Coturnix japonica: one gene and its partner. The protein of the gene in region 1 purifies or fractionates together with the protein of each later gene. This does not show direct contact. Links are inferred from orthologs where the notes say so. Each region holds a gene or a part of one and is shown in the gene's direction. Other genes may lie near its edges.

Evidence for each region.
Region 2: the proteins of ASIC1 (region 1) and PICK1 purify together in Homo sapiens (affinity purification with western blotting; 3 studies listed by BioGRID and IntAct, with this or other methods). This does not show direct contact. The link is inferred for Coturnix japonica from reciprocal best matches to the Homo sapiens genes ASIC1 and PICK1.

Annotation. Positions count from the first base shown.
Region 1 is NC_029544.1:355,346-358,749, reverse strand, and holds the end of ASIC1 (acid-sensing ion channel 1), read left to right. Parts: intron 1-490; coding exon 491-641; intron 642-1,034; coding exon 1,035-1,162; intron 1,163-1,345; coding exon 1,346-1,496; intron 1,497-1,573; coding exon 1,574-1,630; intron 1,631-1,712; coding exon 1,713-1,866; intron 1,867-1,941; coding exon 1,942-2,329; intron 2,330-2,457; coding exon 2,458-2,562; intron 2,563-2,696; coding exon 2,697-2,801; 3' UTR 2,802-2,821; downstream 2,822-3,404. UniProt on the Homo sapiens protein: Forms voltage-independent, pH-gated trimeric sodium channels that act as postsynaptic excitatory receptors in the nervous system, playing a crucial role in regulating synaptic plasticity, learning, and memory.
Region 2 is NC_029516.1:46,560,546-46,564,879, reverse strand, and holds the start of PICK1 (PRKCA-binding protein), read left to right. Parts: upstream 1-1,277; 5' UTR 1,278-1,365; intron 1,366-1,391; exon of another isoform or gene 1,392-1,521; intron 1,522-1,717; 5' UTR 1,718-1,769; coding exon 1,770-1,810; intron 1,811-4,079; coding exon 4,080-4,191; intron 4,192-4,329; coding exon 4,330-4,334. UniProt on the Homo sapiens protein: Probable adapter protein that bind to and organize the subcellular localization of a variety of membrane proteins containing some PDZ recognition sequence.

The DNA of each region.
Region 1 (3,404 bases):
CTCGGGGTCTGGGCTTGGCACTGTGCAGCCTGCAGCCTGCTGGCCCCAGATGCTCCCTTTGCCAGCAGCAGCTCAGCAGCATGGAGCTGTGCTGGCAGCCAGAGGTGATAGCTGGAATGGGTGAGGAGGGCTGGGGGGTTGAGGATCCTGTCCAGCCCCCATCTGTGGGATTGGAGGTGATGGGGCAGATATTGGTGAGGGCACAGGGCTGAGTGCTGCTGTCCTGGGGCTGCAGGGTCATGGAGATGCAAACCTGCAAAGCATCTCCACTGATCTGCACCCATTGCCTTGGTGGGGATCTCGTCCTTCTACCAGGGCAAAGGCAGCTCTGATGCTAAGAGACCCCATGGGACAGGACCCTGGGTCAGGCTGTCCCCCAGGCTGGGCATTGCCACATTCTGGAGCTGGAGTCAGCTCCATGCTGCAGCGCCAGTGGCATTTTGGGGCTAGCAGAGGGGCCCCAGCCTCAGCCTTATGTCCTCTCCCACAGGTGTTCACACGCTATGGCAAATGCTACACCTTCAATGCAGGGCAGGACGGCAAACCCCGGCTCATCACCATGAAGGGGGGCACTGGAAATGGCCTGGAGATCATGCTGGACATCCAGCAGGACGAGTACCTCCCTGTGTGGGGGGAAACAGGTAACCCAGCAGCTCCTAGGCTGCTTCCCAGCAGCCTCCCAGCTTCATACCCCACAAGACCACGTCCCCAGGGCTCCTTCCTTCTGTTTCTCACCACTTCGGGTCTTCTGCTTTCCTTTTTCCTCCTTGCCTCTTCTATTTGCCATGGCAACTCCCTGCCGCTTTAGACAAGCAGCCATCACTTGTTTATAAATAGAGCCAGGCACTTTCCACACTGCTCTTCCCAAGGTCTGGACCACAGGGCTGGGGGGGACAAGGGCACGGGGTGGATGGATGCATGGATGCATGGACATGTGAAGGAGTGAATTCACCAAAGGGAAGGGTGGGAGACGGGAGGAGTTTTCTTCCTTCTTGCAGCAGGGCTCAGCTCCTCTCTGCTCCTCTCTGCTGCAGATGAGACCTCATTTGAAGCTGGGATCAAGGTGCAGATCCACAGCCAGGATGAGCCACCCTACATCGACCAGCTGGGCTTTGGTGTGGCACCCGGCTTCCAGACCTTCGTGTCCTGCCAGGAGCAGCGGGTAGGGGCTGTGGGCCTTGCTCAATCCCTCCCACCCCCTAGAGTGCTGAGCCCCCTCCCTACATCCCCATCTCCTGCCCCAATGTGGGATGGAAATGGGGAGCAGCACACGAGGCCCCACCCTCACCATGCCGTGGGCTGCAGGGATGTGTGCTTCTCTCCTTATCCCTGGCTTCCCTCTCAGCTCATCTACCTGCCACCTCCCTGGGGAGACTGTAAGGCCACAACGGGTGACTCGGAGTTCTACGACACTTACAGCATCACAGCCTGCCGCATCGACTGCGAGACCCGCTACCTGGTGGAGAACTGCAACTGCCGCATGGTGCACATGCCAGGTGAGCTCTGCATGGCTGCATCCCACCCCAAACCCAGGGGACACAGTCCTATGGGAAACCTGTTCTGTTTCCTGCAGGCGATGCCCCTTATTGCACCCCAGAGCAGTACAAGGAGTGCGCAGATCCGGCCTTAGGTGAGGCTGCCTGGTCCCATAGGTCTGAACTGACAGCATCAGGGTTTCCCACATCCCCATCTAAGTCTCTTTTCCTGCCCAGATTTCCTGGTGGAGAAGGACAATGAGTATTGTGTCTGTGAGATGCCCTGCAACGTCACCCGCTACGGCAAAGAGCTCTCCATGGTGAAGATTCCCAGCAAAGCCTCTGCTAAGTACCTGGCCAAGAAGTACAACAAGTCAGAGCAATACATCGGGTAATGCACCACAGGTATGGGGCAGCATTGTGTCTCTCCAACACCACGACCTGACTCTGCTTTCTGCCCACGCAGGGAGAACATCCTGGTGCTGGATATCTTCTTTGAAGCCTTGAACTATGAGACGATTGAGCAGAAGAAGGCGTATGAGGTGGCTGGATTGCTGGGTGAGCACTGTGGGCTGGTGGCTGTGCTGAGAGCTTTGGTTGGCACCCTTCAGTGTGGCCCCATGTGCTGTCACCCCAATCCTGGGGCACCAGGGTGTGCACACAGCGTAGGTGCAGAACAGAGCAGCCCCCAGAGTCACAGCAGTGATGAGGTTTGCCCTTTCTCTGCTCCATCTGCCAGCAGTGCCCTGCTGATAGCTTTCCTCTCCCCCCCAGGTGACATCGGAGGACAGATGGGGCTGTTTATCGGGGCCAGCATCCTCACTGTGCTGGAGCTGTTTGACTACGCCTATGAGGTGAGCCCCAAAACACTGTGCCCTGTTCCTGTGGGGTCAGCAGAGCCCCCTTGGCACCACATCCCTCCATCTACTGGGGAAACCCCCTTGTTGGGGTCCATCCTGGAGCTCAGAGCCATCTCCTGCAGGTGATCAAGCACCGGCTGTGCCGGCGGGGCAAGTGCCGTAAGAACCACAAGAGGAACAACACGGACAAGGGCGTCGCACTGAGCATGGATGACGTGAAACGCCACGTGAGTGCTGGGCAGGGGGTCTTGTTGGGGGGTCACCGTCACCACCTGGGGGACAAGGGGCAGCAGGCAATGGAAGACAGGGCTTGGTTCTGGCTTAAACCCGTGACCACAACATCCCATCTCTTCCCCTACAGAACCCCTGCGAGAGCCTACGGGGTCACCCGGCCGGCATGACGTACGCAGCAAACATCCTACCTCACCACCCAGCCCGGGGAACCTTTGAGGACTTCACCTGCTAACCGACGTCTGGATGTACAACAACCCGAGCTACCAAAGCCCTCCGGAGCGCTGCCCTTCTCCTAGAGGAGAGACACAGCCAGGGGACCTCGCTCGAAGCCACGGCGGGACGCGGACAAGAGCGGCGGCCTCAGATTTTGGGGCAGGCGGCCGGGCCGGGCCGTGTTGGCTCAGAGACTGGAGGAGGCTGCAGCCCAGCCGCGGAGCCACGCACAGCGGGCCGGGGCGCGGGCCTGCCCCGTCTCCTCCCCCTCGGCTCCCCTCGGCCTTTTTAACTAGAAACCCAGAAGCCAAGAAGAAGCAGCCTTCGGGCCGCAAGAGTCTCCATCCACAGCCCTGTTCGTCTGTCCGTCCGTCCATTGTCTCCATGCTCATTCTGCTCCCCAGAGCTCAGCCTGCGCCTGTTCCCATGCCTGGCATCATCTCAGAGCCCCGCAGCCCCAGCAGAGCCCACTGGGCTCCACGTGCACAAAACAGAGCAGCTCCACATCTCCAAAATGTCTTCCTCGGCCTCCGTCCCGGGGATGGCAGCGTTGGGCCGCTGGGGGAGCAGCATGGAGGGCTGCGCCTTGGGGGACCACTGAGGGCCTGCAGCCTGGTCATGG
Region 2 (4,334 bases), on another chromosome or scaffold:
AGAACATAATCACCATACTTATCCCCCAGAACAGAAAACATGCTTGAAGGACAGCGACTGGGGAGGATGTTAGCTCAGCGTTAGTCATGTTGACTCTAAGCTGACAACAGTAGCAGAAAAGCAGCCAGAAACACGAGATTTAACAGAGACCCACTGCAGGGAAATACATCTGAGTGCCAAGAAGCCAACTAGTCATGCAGCGTGTGATCTGCTTGCAGACTCCTTATTACACGTGATGAAAGATGAACAGAAGAGAGTTTGACTGGCGGAGCCTGGCCTGACTTTGCTGTATTGAGTCTCGAAAGGCGGATAAAAGCCTTGTATTTGCTGAGCTCTCTTGATCCAAAGCATACTGGTAGGCAGTGAGTGCTATGTTTTATGATGATGATGATTTTATTTCAGATGATCATTTTCATTCCTTTTCCCCCTCGGGATGAGGTGATCTGCCGGATCTCTAGCACTGAGAAACACAGCCCTAAGGCACACACCATCTCATTCAGAGCCCATCCAACTGACCCCGAACACATCGGATTGAGTGCACACAAAAGGCAGGGTCACCCAGCACGCGTGTACAAAGGCTTCAGGGATGCTTCCGGGATGAAGTGAGGGCCATATTCAATACACACACACACCAGAGGGGAAGCACAAAAGCGGAGCCCATCAGCCACGCTGCCTTCTAGATGGTGCCCACACGGAGGAGCTCCTGCCTTAGGAATGAACCCCAGCTGGGCGGCTGGTGTAACTTTGGAGGCCCTGGAGTTTAAGGAGCTTTCAGCCAGTGCTCTCAGTCGTAGGGTCTGATTTTCAGGTGGTCCTTTATGGAGCCCGATGGTCCCTACGGCTCCCTTCGCACTTAGAGTATTCAGTGTTGCTATGAATTCTCAGCCTAGAGAAGGTTGCGGGGTGACCTCATTGCAGCCTTACAATACCTGAAGGGAACTTTACTCCCAGGAGGGAGTAAACTCTTCGAAGGGCTGATAATAGCAGGACTAGGGAAATGGTTTTAAGTTGAAAGAGGGAAGATTTAGGTTGGATGTTAGGGGAAGTTCTTCACTAGGAGAGGGGTAGGTACTGAACAGGCTGCCCAGGGAGGTTGTGGATGCCCCGTCCTTGGAGGTGTTCAAGGCAGGGTGGACGGGGCCCTGCGGCAACGTGATCTAGTAAAGGGTGTATGTTTGGTGGCCCTGTGCCAGGCAGGGGGTTGGAACTACATGATCCTTGAGCCCGCCACTCTCAAGATGGCGGATGGAGCGTCCCCGTAGCAACGCGGGCGCTAGAGGAAGGGGGGCGGGCTTTGGCTGCGCGCTTCCGGTCGGCTCCGGCGGCGACGCGTCAGCGGCGGGGTCGGCCCGGCCACCTCTAAAGGTCTCGGCTTTGATGTGGGGCGAGCGGCGGCAGCGTGTGACCGAGCCGCGGGGCAGCGAGCGGGGCCGGGGCCTGGGAGCACAGAGCGGGGCCTGCTGCGGGACATAAGGGATCGGGGGCACGGCAGTTGCTTAGGAAACAGAACAAGGCTGCTGTGTGAGCGGGGAGCGGGCCGCGGGGTGTGGTGCTGTGCCTGGAGCAGAGCGTGCGGCCACCTGGTCCCTACTTGCAGCCCTCTATCAGGGCACCATTCGTCATTCAGAAATAGATGGGGTGGGAGTTGACGTTGGTGCCCTGGTGACCCGCAGAGAGCGCGGCCTTACGGGGGTTTTGCTCTGTGCTTTCTTCCTAGGGAGTTTACAAGAAGGTGCTTTCAGACGGTCAGGTTCCAGTTAGCGAAAAGGATGTTTGCTGATTTGGATTATGATGTTGAGGAGGATAAGCTGTAAGTACGGCACTCATCTTTTGTTTTTCTGACAATAGAAATAGTCTTCACAGAACAAAACAAATGGCAGCAGATAGATTTCCATGTTGCTGACAAGGCCCAGGGAGACCTGGACAGGCTTGAGCAGTGGGCCAAGGACCCCCTCACTTGGCCAAGTGCAAGGTCTGGTATTGCATATCGGTATTGTAAGGTTTTGCACTTGGGCTGGAAGAACCCCAGGCACCTGTACAGGCTGGGAGGAGTGGTCCTTGAGAGCAGCTCGGCAGAGAAGACCTGGGGGTCCTGATGGACAAAGACTCAAACTGAGCCAGCAGTGCGCTCTGGCAGCCGGAAAGCAAATGGGATCCTGGGCTCCATCAGGAGAGGGGTGGCCAGCAGGGATAGGGAGGTGATTGTCCCTCTCTGCTCTTGTGAGGCCCCATCTGGAGTACTGTGTCCAGGTGTGGAGCCCTCAGTACAAAAAGACATGGAGATTTTGGAAAGGGTCCAGAGGAGGCCACAAAGATGATCAGGGGGCCGAGCACCTCCCCTATGAGGACAGGCTGAGGGAGTTGGGTTTGTCAGCCTGGAGAAGAGAAGGTTGCGGTGACCTCATTGCAGCCTTTCATTACCGAAGGGAATTACCCCAGGAGGGAGAAACTCTTCGAAAGGCTGAAATAGCAGGACAGGGGAAATGGTTTTAAGTTGAAAGAGGGAAGATTTAGGTTGGATGTTAGGGGAAGTTCTTCACTAGAGAGTGGTTAGGTCCTGGAACAGGCTGCCCAGGGAGGTTGTGGATGCCCCGTCCTTGGAGGTGTTCAAGCCAGTTGGACGGGCCTGGGCAACCTGACGTAGTAAATGTGTATGTTTGGTGGCCCTGACAGGCAGGGGGGTTGGAACTACATGATCTTTGAGGTCCCTTCCAACTCGGGTCATTCTGTGATTCTGTGGTACCTGGGCTGTGGCAATTTCCACTACCAGTACAGGCTGGGGGATGGAGCACGGCCCTACCAAAAAGGACTTGGGGACACTGATGGATGGCAGCTGGACATGAGCCAGCAGTGTGCCCTCACAGCCCACAGTGCCAACTGTGTCCTGGGCTGCACCCAAAGGAATGTGGCCATTAGGGAGAGGGAGGTGATCCTGCCCCTCTGCACTGTGTTGTGAGACCTTTCCCAGAGTACTGAGTTGAATGTGGAACCCTCAGTACAGGAGAGATGTGGGCATGTTAGACCTGTTAGAGCACATGCAGAGGAGGGCCACAAAAATGAGATGTTCCAAAGGGATGGAACACCTGCCCTATGAGAGAGGAAGTTGAGAGAGCTAGGGTTGTTCAGCCAGGAGAAGAGAAGGCTCCAGGGAGACCAGAGAGCAGCCTCTCAGTATCTAGAGGGAGACTATAAGAAGAAAAGGGACAGATTCTTTTCTTTGTGATAGGACAAGGAGAAATGGTTTCAGACTAGAAGAGAGATTTAGACTGTATGTAGACTTACTTTCCAATAAGTCTAGTGGAGTTCCAGTAAGGAACAGGTTGTCTGGGGGTGTGGATGCTTCATCCCTGGAGATATTCAAGGTCAGGCTGGAGGGGCTCTGAGCATCCTGATCTAGATGTAGGAGTCTCTTTCCATTGTAGGGGGTTTGTCCAGATGGCCTTTAAGGCTCGTTTCCAACCAACAGTTCTGATTCTAAGACCCGCTGAAGGGTCAGGCTCGCTGCTCAATCCTGACTTCTTGCTACCTTGGGGAATGGGGATGAAGTATTGCTGTCTCTCTCCAAGGACTGCTCTGAGCTTCTTGTTGCAAGGTAGTCCTAGCAGTGAATTAGTGACCTTAGCTAGAGGGAAGAAAAAAAAAAAGGTTTATAATGGAAGACAGTACGAGGCAGCCATAAGTGGAGAAAACCTCTGGAGACCATGGGTTTGTAAGGAGCACTGGAGTTTTTTGAACAAGTTTTATGAAATCAGCAGTTTCTTTGGCATGGAGTTTCGTTTTTGTTGCACATACTGATCTCTTACTCTGACACAAAGGCAGCTCAAACACTGTTTAAAGCAACAGTGTTTCCTCTGCATCTCTCCCTCCTTCACTCTGTGCATGCAGTCTCAAAAACAACAGCTCAGAGTGTCTTCCTGTGTTGTCCTGTGCTTATAGACTCTGTGGCACAGTGTGCTTAATTAAAGTGTACAATGTCTATCATGTGTTCAGTTTTTATCGTCACTGATACCACAGTTGTACAGATACAGCTCTGTCTGCCATGTTCAGTTTTCCACTATCCATCTCCTTTCTCATTCTAGAGGGATCCCCACTGTACCTGGGACAGTGACCCTGAAGAAGGACTCCCAGAACCTGATTGGGATCAGCATTGGGGGAGGAGCACAGTACTGCCCCTGTCTCTATATTGTTCAGGTGAGCACCCGAGGAGGAAGAATACAACCAAGTTAAATAGGAGAAATATAGCTGTCAGGTGTTTGTTCTTCAGCCCTGCGCTGTTCTTTTTCATCCTTTTGATTCCAGACTGCTTGTGCTTTTTCTCCCCTTCTCCAGGTATT